Linked DNA regions of Oryzias latipes. The protein of the gene in region 1 purifies or fractionates together with the protein of each later gene. This does not show direct contact. Links are inferred from orthologs where the notes say so. Each region holds a gene or a part of one and is shown in the gene's direction. Other genes may lie near its edges. The genes, in order: slc7a14 and golm1.

Region 1 (4,491 bases):
AAATGAATTTCTAATGAACTACTGTCGCTCTGCAGAAACTATGTCCTAGAAAACCACAACTTTTGTTTGATTTTGGCTGAAAATGGTATAATCAAAACTGAAAGATCATGTTTTTACAATTTTTTCAATGCTTTAGGTGTTTGTTGGGTCTTGCTCTTATATTCAAACTCATAACTGTCCTGTTTGAAGAAGAATTGCATAAATGCATTTTGTTCTCCGTCTTTTTTGTCTTTAGTTTTTTTGATCAAATATATATGCAGATTAATCCAACAGCAGGTCAGGATGACATTTTAACACCACATTTTTTCGTTTGTAAGGATGAATGGTACATCCTAGACCTAGAAGATATTTGTGTCTTGTACTCGTCTAAAACTGCAGGACAGACTTCAGAACAGGTTTTCTAGCCCTCTGTGAGTTTTCCAACAGCTTCCACAGCATTTACTTTGATGTAAGAAATAAAATGGCCCATGCACACTCAACACATGTAGTTACCCACAATGCAGCTGTCATTAAAGGCTATCTGTTGCAAATAACATGACCATCTGTTGAATATTTAATCAGTGCCCATTATTTATTCAGCACAAAGCCCCTGCACCTTTATCATAATAGACCCTCTGCCTGTTGCTAATGAAAAGTGAAGGATTCACTCGTGATTTTTGTGGTTCGGGATGTCTTCCTCCACAAATGTCTGTAGGCAAATCACATATGTAGAAGTTTTTCAATTACTGTGTTAATCTGACATGATTAGAACTGACAGAGTTTTCTTGTGTGACTGAAATCTACTCAATTTGGTTGGAGCTGAGCGATGTCTCGTTACGTTTGTGTGACAATTGTACCAAATGTTGACCTTTACTTTGAGAAAGAGGTCAAATGAAAAATCCTGAAAAAGATAACAGCTCACTTAAAATCTCAGTGGCCTCACATTTGTAATTTCCCTCTTTGCACAGATATTTGCTCATATTCTCCAATTTTTATTTTTAGAGTTTATTACCAAAAAAAACTGACTAAAGATTCTGGGTAATTTAAGATTGTCTGGACATATGCGTCGTTTGTAACCGTTAAAACCTGCTCAACTTAAATAAAATGGCCATATGTTGACATCATAATATTTTGATCTGAAGCTAATGTCACTGTTGAAGCTCAAACACAAAATATCAGTGACAGATGTTCATATTTGATGAAGCTCCAAATATTTGATTTGATGTAATATAAAGTTTCATCATAACATCAGAAAATCACTGTTTATTTGGATGCTGACAGATTTTGACTTTTGATCAAAACATTCTTTTTCTCGAAATATACAGAAAAAAAGTTATAATGTAAAGCCTGCAAATCTCTTAATCTTCTTGTTTATCTGAAAGCAGTCTGTTGTGTGACCATTCAGGCCAGCCATGCGCGCCTGCCGTGGTGGTGCATGGGGGCGTCTTGTGGTTATGATCTGATATCATGCTCAGATCTGTGTAAATCACGGCGGTGGGGCGGGCACCGGCGTGTCCCTTCCTGCTGCTCCCCAACCGGCCAGAAAACGAACCGGATGAGTAATCCACGGTGTCGGCGGTCACATGTCGTGCAGCGGGCTCCTGAATGATTTAAAGCGTTTTACATCATCAGCCTCACCCTCCCTCCCTCCCCCCTCCTTATCCTCCTCCCTCCTGCACCGAGCAGCCCGGAGATGCTGCTGCTGATGTTGCTGACCGACTGCAACATCCGACATGGGCATCTTCTGATCCCGCGGCGCCACAGTGAGTGTTTTCCCACCACTTTTTCTTTATTTAAACTTGCGTTCCGCGCTTCACCTTCCTCCCCACCATCATCGTCCTATCCGGTCCCCTTCCCCTGCCTGTATCGTCCTCCTTTGTTCTGCTCCCTTTTTTTACGCGCGATGGCGCACACCGCGGCGGGAAGGGGATGTTTGGCGGAATGGGGGGGGGGGGGGGGGGGGGGTCTTACCCTGCCCGCTCTTGCATCCTACCCTTGCGGTGTGTTACTTTGAGAAGGGGGGGGGGGGGGGGGTTGGGGCGGGTGTCGCTTCTCCCAGCGGACCAGAGCTGCAGGAGGAGGAGGAGAAGAGGGTGGCGGGACTGACTCAACTTAAACAGGTTAGGAGAGATATTTGGCGCTGGCGTTTTTTTTTTTGCAGGTGAAATATATATTTGTTATTATTTTTAATTAGATGAAGAGTAAAATCTCGGAAACAAAGAGGATTGTAGCTCTCTTATTTCTGATCCTCCAAAGAGCGCAGGCGCTCAGCGCGCTGCTGGGTCTGAGTGCGTGTTGGTGTGAGGACAGCAGCACTCAGACACTGAAAGCCCGAAGCTCTGAAACTGGGCTAATCCCTAATGACATAGCCAGATCTCTGGCTTTCTGCTTTTTTTCCCATTTGCTACAAGCCTTTTTTTCCCCCTTTACTTCTGCTCTTCTCATCTCTTCAGTTTTGATGATGTCCTGCTGCTGAAAACAAGCATCAGAAAACAGCTTCTGTGGAGGCTGGACGGGCCTGTCACTTCTCAACAGGTGTCTACACTAAATATGTCTTTTAAGACTAGACTTAAGTCGATTTACTCATCCTTTGCTTTTTTCTGTTTGCATAGATCTTCTACCAGTAAATCGTTTTTTATATGACTTTAGAAGATTTTGCATTTTCAAAGATTAAAATAAGCAGCTTCTTGTTATTTTTGCACACTTTTTTTATTCAATAAGGATAAAGAGAAACGCCACGATGGTGGAGCTGATGGCGTAAAACAACATCATTAAAAGGCAGACGGTTATATAACGAACCAGTTTGGCAACTGCAGAGTGTCTCTCTGAATATTCCTCACAGAAACACAGCCTGGAAAGAGAGAACAGAGAGACACGTGCAAACAAATGAATGCAGAAGCTTTAAGGCGTGGACACTGTCTGCTCGTGCCTTGCTCTGTTCAGCATCATTTCAACTTAAAAAAAAAACAAGCTGCACTCCTCCACAGAAAGGTGTTTTTTTGTAGTATTTTATAATTTTTTTTAAACTATATTTTGCATTAACTGATACTTCAGTTGTTTTAACCCTTGTGCTATCTTAGATGACCCCACCCTTACATTGACGTGTTCTCCCTACCATGACAAAGGTGGATAGATTTCATGTAATCCATGGACACCAGTGAAGATCACAAATCATTGAAGAAAAAAGGTTCAGAGCACTGTCTAGTGGGTCTAGATGACCCAACTCCCAATGTTAAAGTGCCTAGGATAGCACAAGGGTTAAAGATGCAAAAGCCCTACAGACTACACCAAACCAAAACTATGGTGGCCCTAAAGCACAAATCACATCTACAAATCACTCGACTCAAAACCATTTTAAAAATCACGACGACAATTAAAATTGTGAAACAAATAATAATAATTAAAAAAAAACAGCAAAATTACATTTTAGAAATCAAAACACAATTCCAGAAAGTAAAACAAACACTAAAAAGTGAATCAGAATAAACTGGAAAACAAAAGTAATTTCCAGAAATCAACATGAAATGTTTAAACATAAAACACTGGTAAAGGACTTTGCTGATTGGAGGATAACATTTGACTTTTGAAATTTTTGAATGTGTCTTCGATGGCCGCTTGCTTACAAATGTTTTATGGATAGTACAGAACATTTCCAGTTTTGCTTCATGCCAAATAACTTTCAATGCCCCACAGTACCGTCTTTTTCTTATTGTGCTTCATTTTGTTTCTTTGTGTTTCTTTTTTTACAGAAACCGGAAAAAGTTGTTAGTCCTGAAAATTTCCGTTTTTGGAAATAATGTTATAGTTATAGTTTTTTCTTTTGTTTTTTTTGTTTGGATTTTTCAATTGTTGTTGTGATCTTTAAAAGTAGTTTTTGCATTGATTGATTTGTACTTCAGGACCGCCGTAGAAAAAGTGTTAAAGGTGACTAACTGTTTTAACTGACATTAGCTGTGTTTCCAGTGCACACATTTGACAATTTTATTGAGATGCTGTAAATGTAGAAAAATCCCCCCCACAATTTCGCAATAACACTGTTAAATAATAATTATGGGATTAAACACGAACCAACTCGCTTGTTAACCCTTGTGCTATCCTAGGCACTTTAACATTGGGAGTTGGGTCATCTAGTCCAGTGTTTTTCAACCTTTTTTGAGCCACGGCACACTTTAACCTTGACAAAAATCCCGCGGCACACCAGCATCCCAAAAAAAATAAAAAAGCAGAAATTCATGGTCTGTATTGATCGACAGACCCCCCCCCCCGCCACAATCTCACGTGGATTTTTGTGATAATTGTGGTAGAAAAAGCAGGAAGTTGCTGCTGTTTTTTCTAAGAGATGAAATAAAAGTTAAATTAGAAAATTTAGAAACTGTTTGTTTGTTGTGGTTTCAAGACGTTTCACAAGGTCGACTCATTAGGCGCTGTCCCTTTAAGCCAATGCATCATGGGAGATGTAGTGTGAAAACGGCCGAAAAAGGGCAGAAGGACTCGCGTCTCTGAGCTTCATTG
Region 2 (3,820 bases), on another chromosome or scaffold:
GTTCCAGGGGGAGATCCAGAGACAGAAGGACCAGATTGCTCAAATCGAAAACTTTTACAAGAAGAAGCTGGAGGGAGTTCAGACCACCTGCAGCCAAGAGCAGGTGAACACCAGCATCATTCTGAGCTGAAACTGAGAATTCTAGGGCTTCGGAAAATGTTTGGAATCCGAGCAACAATAGGATCCTGAACTGTCAAACTGCTGTAATGTCGCTCCATCGTGTCTTTTAGGCCACAATGCAGCAGAATGTTTCCTTCAGTACCAGAACCATAGAGGACCTCAAAGGTAACTTTGAAACCACTTTTTTCTTGTCTCATTCTTTGTTTCCTATTTTAACATACTATCCCACCTTGTTTTTTCCTGTCCTATAGTTCAACTGAATCAGTTAAATGATGACTTGGGGAAGGTCCAGAAGGAGTTGCAAAACTGCAAAGACAACGTTGAAACACTGGACAAAAAACTCACATTTGACATGTAAGCCGAAGAAATATTACGCGGAAGGCCTTTTCCATGTATTTTATTTTTACTTCATATGGTTCAGTCTGACAACATTCATACTCTCTGCAAACAGACACAATGAAAATGCTGCAGGAACTTGTTTAGTTATGTAGATAATCATTACTTGTATTCACCGAAATGGAAAGTAGATGTGTTTGGCCTCCAGAACACTATGTCTACACAATCTCCTGCTGCGTTCGCTCACACAGTAAAGCTTGCAATTGAATTTCCAGAACAAAAGACCCCTGTACTCCGCCCGCCTGTTTCATAAATGTCCCAAACGTCTGACAGACAGGATGGAGACTTGAATGGATCTTAACTTTATTTCAGGGGAAAAGTAGTTTTCTGGCACAAATTTTAGACACGAGACATTTTCCATCTGAAAGAGAAAAATACTTAAGAAAAATAAAAATAAAACACAGAGTAAAACACACGTACTACCACAGACCTGATTTCCTGTTTTCTGATTTCCTGTCTTCATAATTTAGGTCGTGCTATTTGTAAAACTCGAACGTTTTTTTCATCAAACTGTGTAGAGATGTTCATCAATGTTATTCAAGGTGTAGATTTTTATTAATTTTTAATATTTTATTTTAAAAAATGTTAATTCTATGCTTTACAAAATAAAAAGCGGTCATGATTATTTAAGTTAAGAGACTTTTTAAATTTTAAAAACATGCAGTTTTTTTGTTTAATATTTTGGGGTTCGTTTTCTCCAGAAAAACTGCCTCATTGTTTCTCTCTTTTGCTAGTAGTTGCTTAAGCCTTTACACCCTTTCACACTTCAGTCCAGGTGAACACAGGTGTGTGGGTTCATGTCTGCAGGGCTCACTGTCAGTCCCAGGTCCTTTCTCAGAAAGAGCTGTGCGACGACCGAGTGGCCAAGGCGACGCTTGAAGTCCAGAAGAGGATGGAGAAGCTCATCTCACCTGAAGCGGGCATCTCACCGGTGAGTTGGTTTACATGAGTAACATTGTAAGACTGCATCTCCTCATGACTTCAAATAGATTTTCTGTTGAGCCTCAGAATAAAGTTAGCCCAAAATGCTCGTTCAAAAATTGGGTTGAAGTCTCTTAGCTGAAAAAAGCTTTAAGCTGTGCTGCTTAGATATGGGGAATTTCTCAGAATGTGTTTTGTCATAAGATTTTAAAAAGTTGCAGAAATTAGAATCAAACATAAACTCAGATAAAATCCCTTAACTTTTTTTTTTTTTTTTAAGCATAGTTTGGTAGCAATTTTACAACACGTTTAATGCCAATTAATAAACTACCGTATTTTCCGGACTATAAGTCGCACCGGAGTATAAGTCGCACCAGCCCAAAAATGCATTATAAAGTAGAAAAAAACACAGATAAGTCGCACTGGACTATAAGTCGCATTTTAACTTTCACAACCTTATATGACACAATCATAGCAGACTGTTTATCTCATAATTTCACAGTAATTTTTTTCTCAAACTTATTTATTTATTCTTTTCATGAAGCATCATTGGCTAACTAATACTCTGTTTTCATCCTGTATTTGTAGAAACAGTTTTCACTTTTATTGCATTTCCGAATCTATGAAATCATTGGAAAATAGAATATTATGTTGTTAGCCTTCAAGATCTTACTGTAAAAAAAAGTTTGCTGATTCTCTGAGTCACTTAACATACTCTTAACACTTAACATACCTCATACATCAAATTGACCCAGGAACATCATCTCTGTTCCTCACAAATGAACATAACAGGAGGGTTAACAATGTATTTATTTCAATTTATTTCTAATATAAGTCGCTGCGGAGTATAAGTCGCACCCCTTGCCAAGCTATGAAAAAAAGGGCGACTTATAGTCCGGAAAATACGGTAATGCTTTTCTTTTGTGCATCTCAAAAGTTGGTGCATTTTTTAAAGATTTTAACTTCTGTACATTAGGTGATACCCCATCCTTCAGCAAGGATTTTTGCAGATTTTCTTACTTGTTTTGTCTTTTGAATTTAAAGGAAATACATTTTATTTTCCTTGCAATGCAGGAAAACAAAGTTAAAGAAGAACTGCAAGAAAACTCAACTGTTGTATTGGTGCCAGAAGCTGAAAGCCACACTTCTATCATCTCTCAGCCCAAACTCAATGCAACTTTGGAGCTCCAAACCAATGAAATTATCACCGACAGAGGTATACAAGGGAGAATACTTTCAATTTGTTGTATACTTGTCTTAATGCACTCAATGCAGTTTAGCGTGAAGTTTGAAATGTCACCATTTTTTTCCCCACCTTTTTGTTTTTTAGGCTCTGATGCCTCACTAAGCAGACAGCAGGACAAGAACCTCCTGACAGCGCCTTTACAGTCTGTTCCGCCTGCTGCTGGACTCAATGAAGTAGAGCTGTCAAAAAATGAAGACCTCACAAAGGACAAGGCCGAGGCAGATGAGGTTAAACCTGTAAGCCTGTCTGACAATAATAAAATGGAGGTGATGAACATTCATGACGAGGAAGCCCAGATTGAAGGTATAAAACTCCCGGGATGAAGAAAAACATCAATTAAGGTTTCTTTAAACTAATGCTCCCATAGTGTTAGGTGTCAGATTTACTTTTATCTACATTGCTGGACAGTTCCAACAAAATGCAAATTTTGCTTCTTAGAAGTCGACCCAGGGCTGGAAAACATGCTGATTAGTCAGGAGAAGGCAGAGGATCGTCCGGTTGGTCAGAGGCCTGAGGAACAAGACGAGTATGACGCAGAGGAGCAAGAAGTGGATGGAGTGGATATGGAGAAAGAAAACCAGAGTATGCTGACTGAAAACCTTGGTATGTGTTTGTTTCTCAATTTACATTTTTAAAAAAAGCAAACAAGAGCACAACTGCAGCTTAAACCCCTTACTTTGTAATACAGTTGGAAGACACTCTGAGGAAAAGGATGTATTTGTTGAAAGCGTGAACGTTTGTCTCATGCTTGTTGACACTTTTCACTTTTTGTTAGACAAAGACATGGACGAAGATCCGGCCGACTACAACGGAGACGATGAAAACGAGGGAGAGTTTGAAGCAGACAAACAAGCTGCTCTTGCCCAAATCTGAGGTATGCACTGAAACACGTCAGGGAGTTTTATTGTTTTTTAGTTTTCTTAGACTTCCATTTTTCACAGTTGACACATATGAGAATAAAACATTCTGTTTAAATCATATATATCGCCTGTAAAAAGCATAAAAAATCTCCAAGATAAGGATGTAATGTATTTTTCACACTGAGAAGTGCACCAGATTATGAGGCGCAATCTAAGCAAGAGGAGGAAAAACACGGTAATGCATAAGGTCGATGATGACTACACTACCCAGAATGCC

The links.
Region 2: the proteins of slc7a14 (region 1) and golm1 purify together in Homo sapiens (co-immunoprecipitation; 3 studies listed by BioGRID and IntAct, with this or other methods). This does not show direct contact. The link is inferred for Oryzias latipes from reciprocal best matches to the Homo sapiens genes SLC7A14 and GOLM1.

What each region holds. Positions count from the first base shown.
Region 1 is NC_019880.2:5,381,569-5,386,059, reverse strand, and holds the start of slc7a14 (probable cationic amino acid transporter), read left to right. Parts: upstream 1-1,637; 5' UTR 1,638-1,742; intron 1,743-4,491. UniProt on the Homo sapiens protein: Imports 4-aminobutanoate (GABA) into lysosomes. May act as a GABA sensor that regulates mTORC2-dependent INS signaling and gluconeogenesis. The transport mechanism and substrate selectivity remain to be elucidated.
Region 2 is NC_019867.2:11,007,486-11,011,305, reverse strand, and holds part of golm1 (Golgi membrane protein 1), read left to right. Parts: coding exon 1-103; intron 104-230; coding exon 231-285; intron 286-371; coding exon 372-474; intron 475-1,323; coding exon 1,324-1,447; intron 1,448-2,511; coding exon 2,512-2,653; intron 2,654-2,767; coding exon 2,768-2,986; intron 2,987-3,121; coding exon 3,122-3,286; intron 3,287-3,458; coding exon 3,459-3,556; 3' UTR 3,557-3,557; intron 3,558-3,820.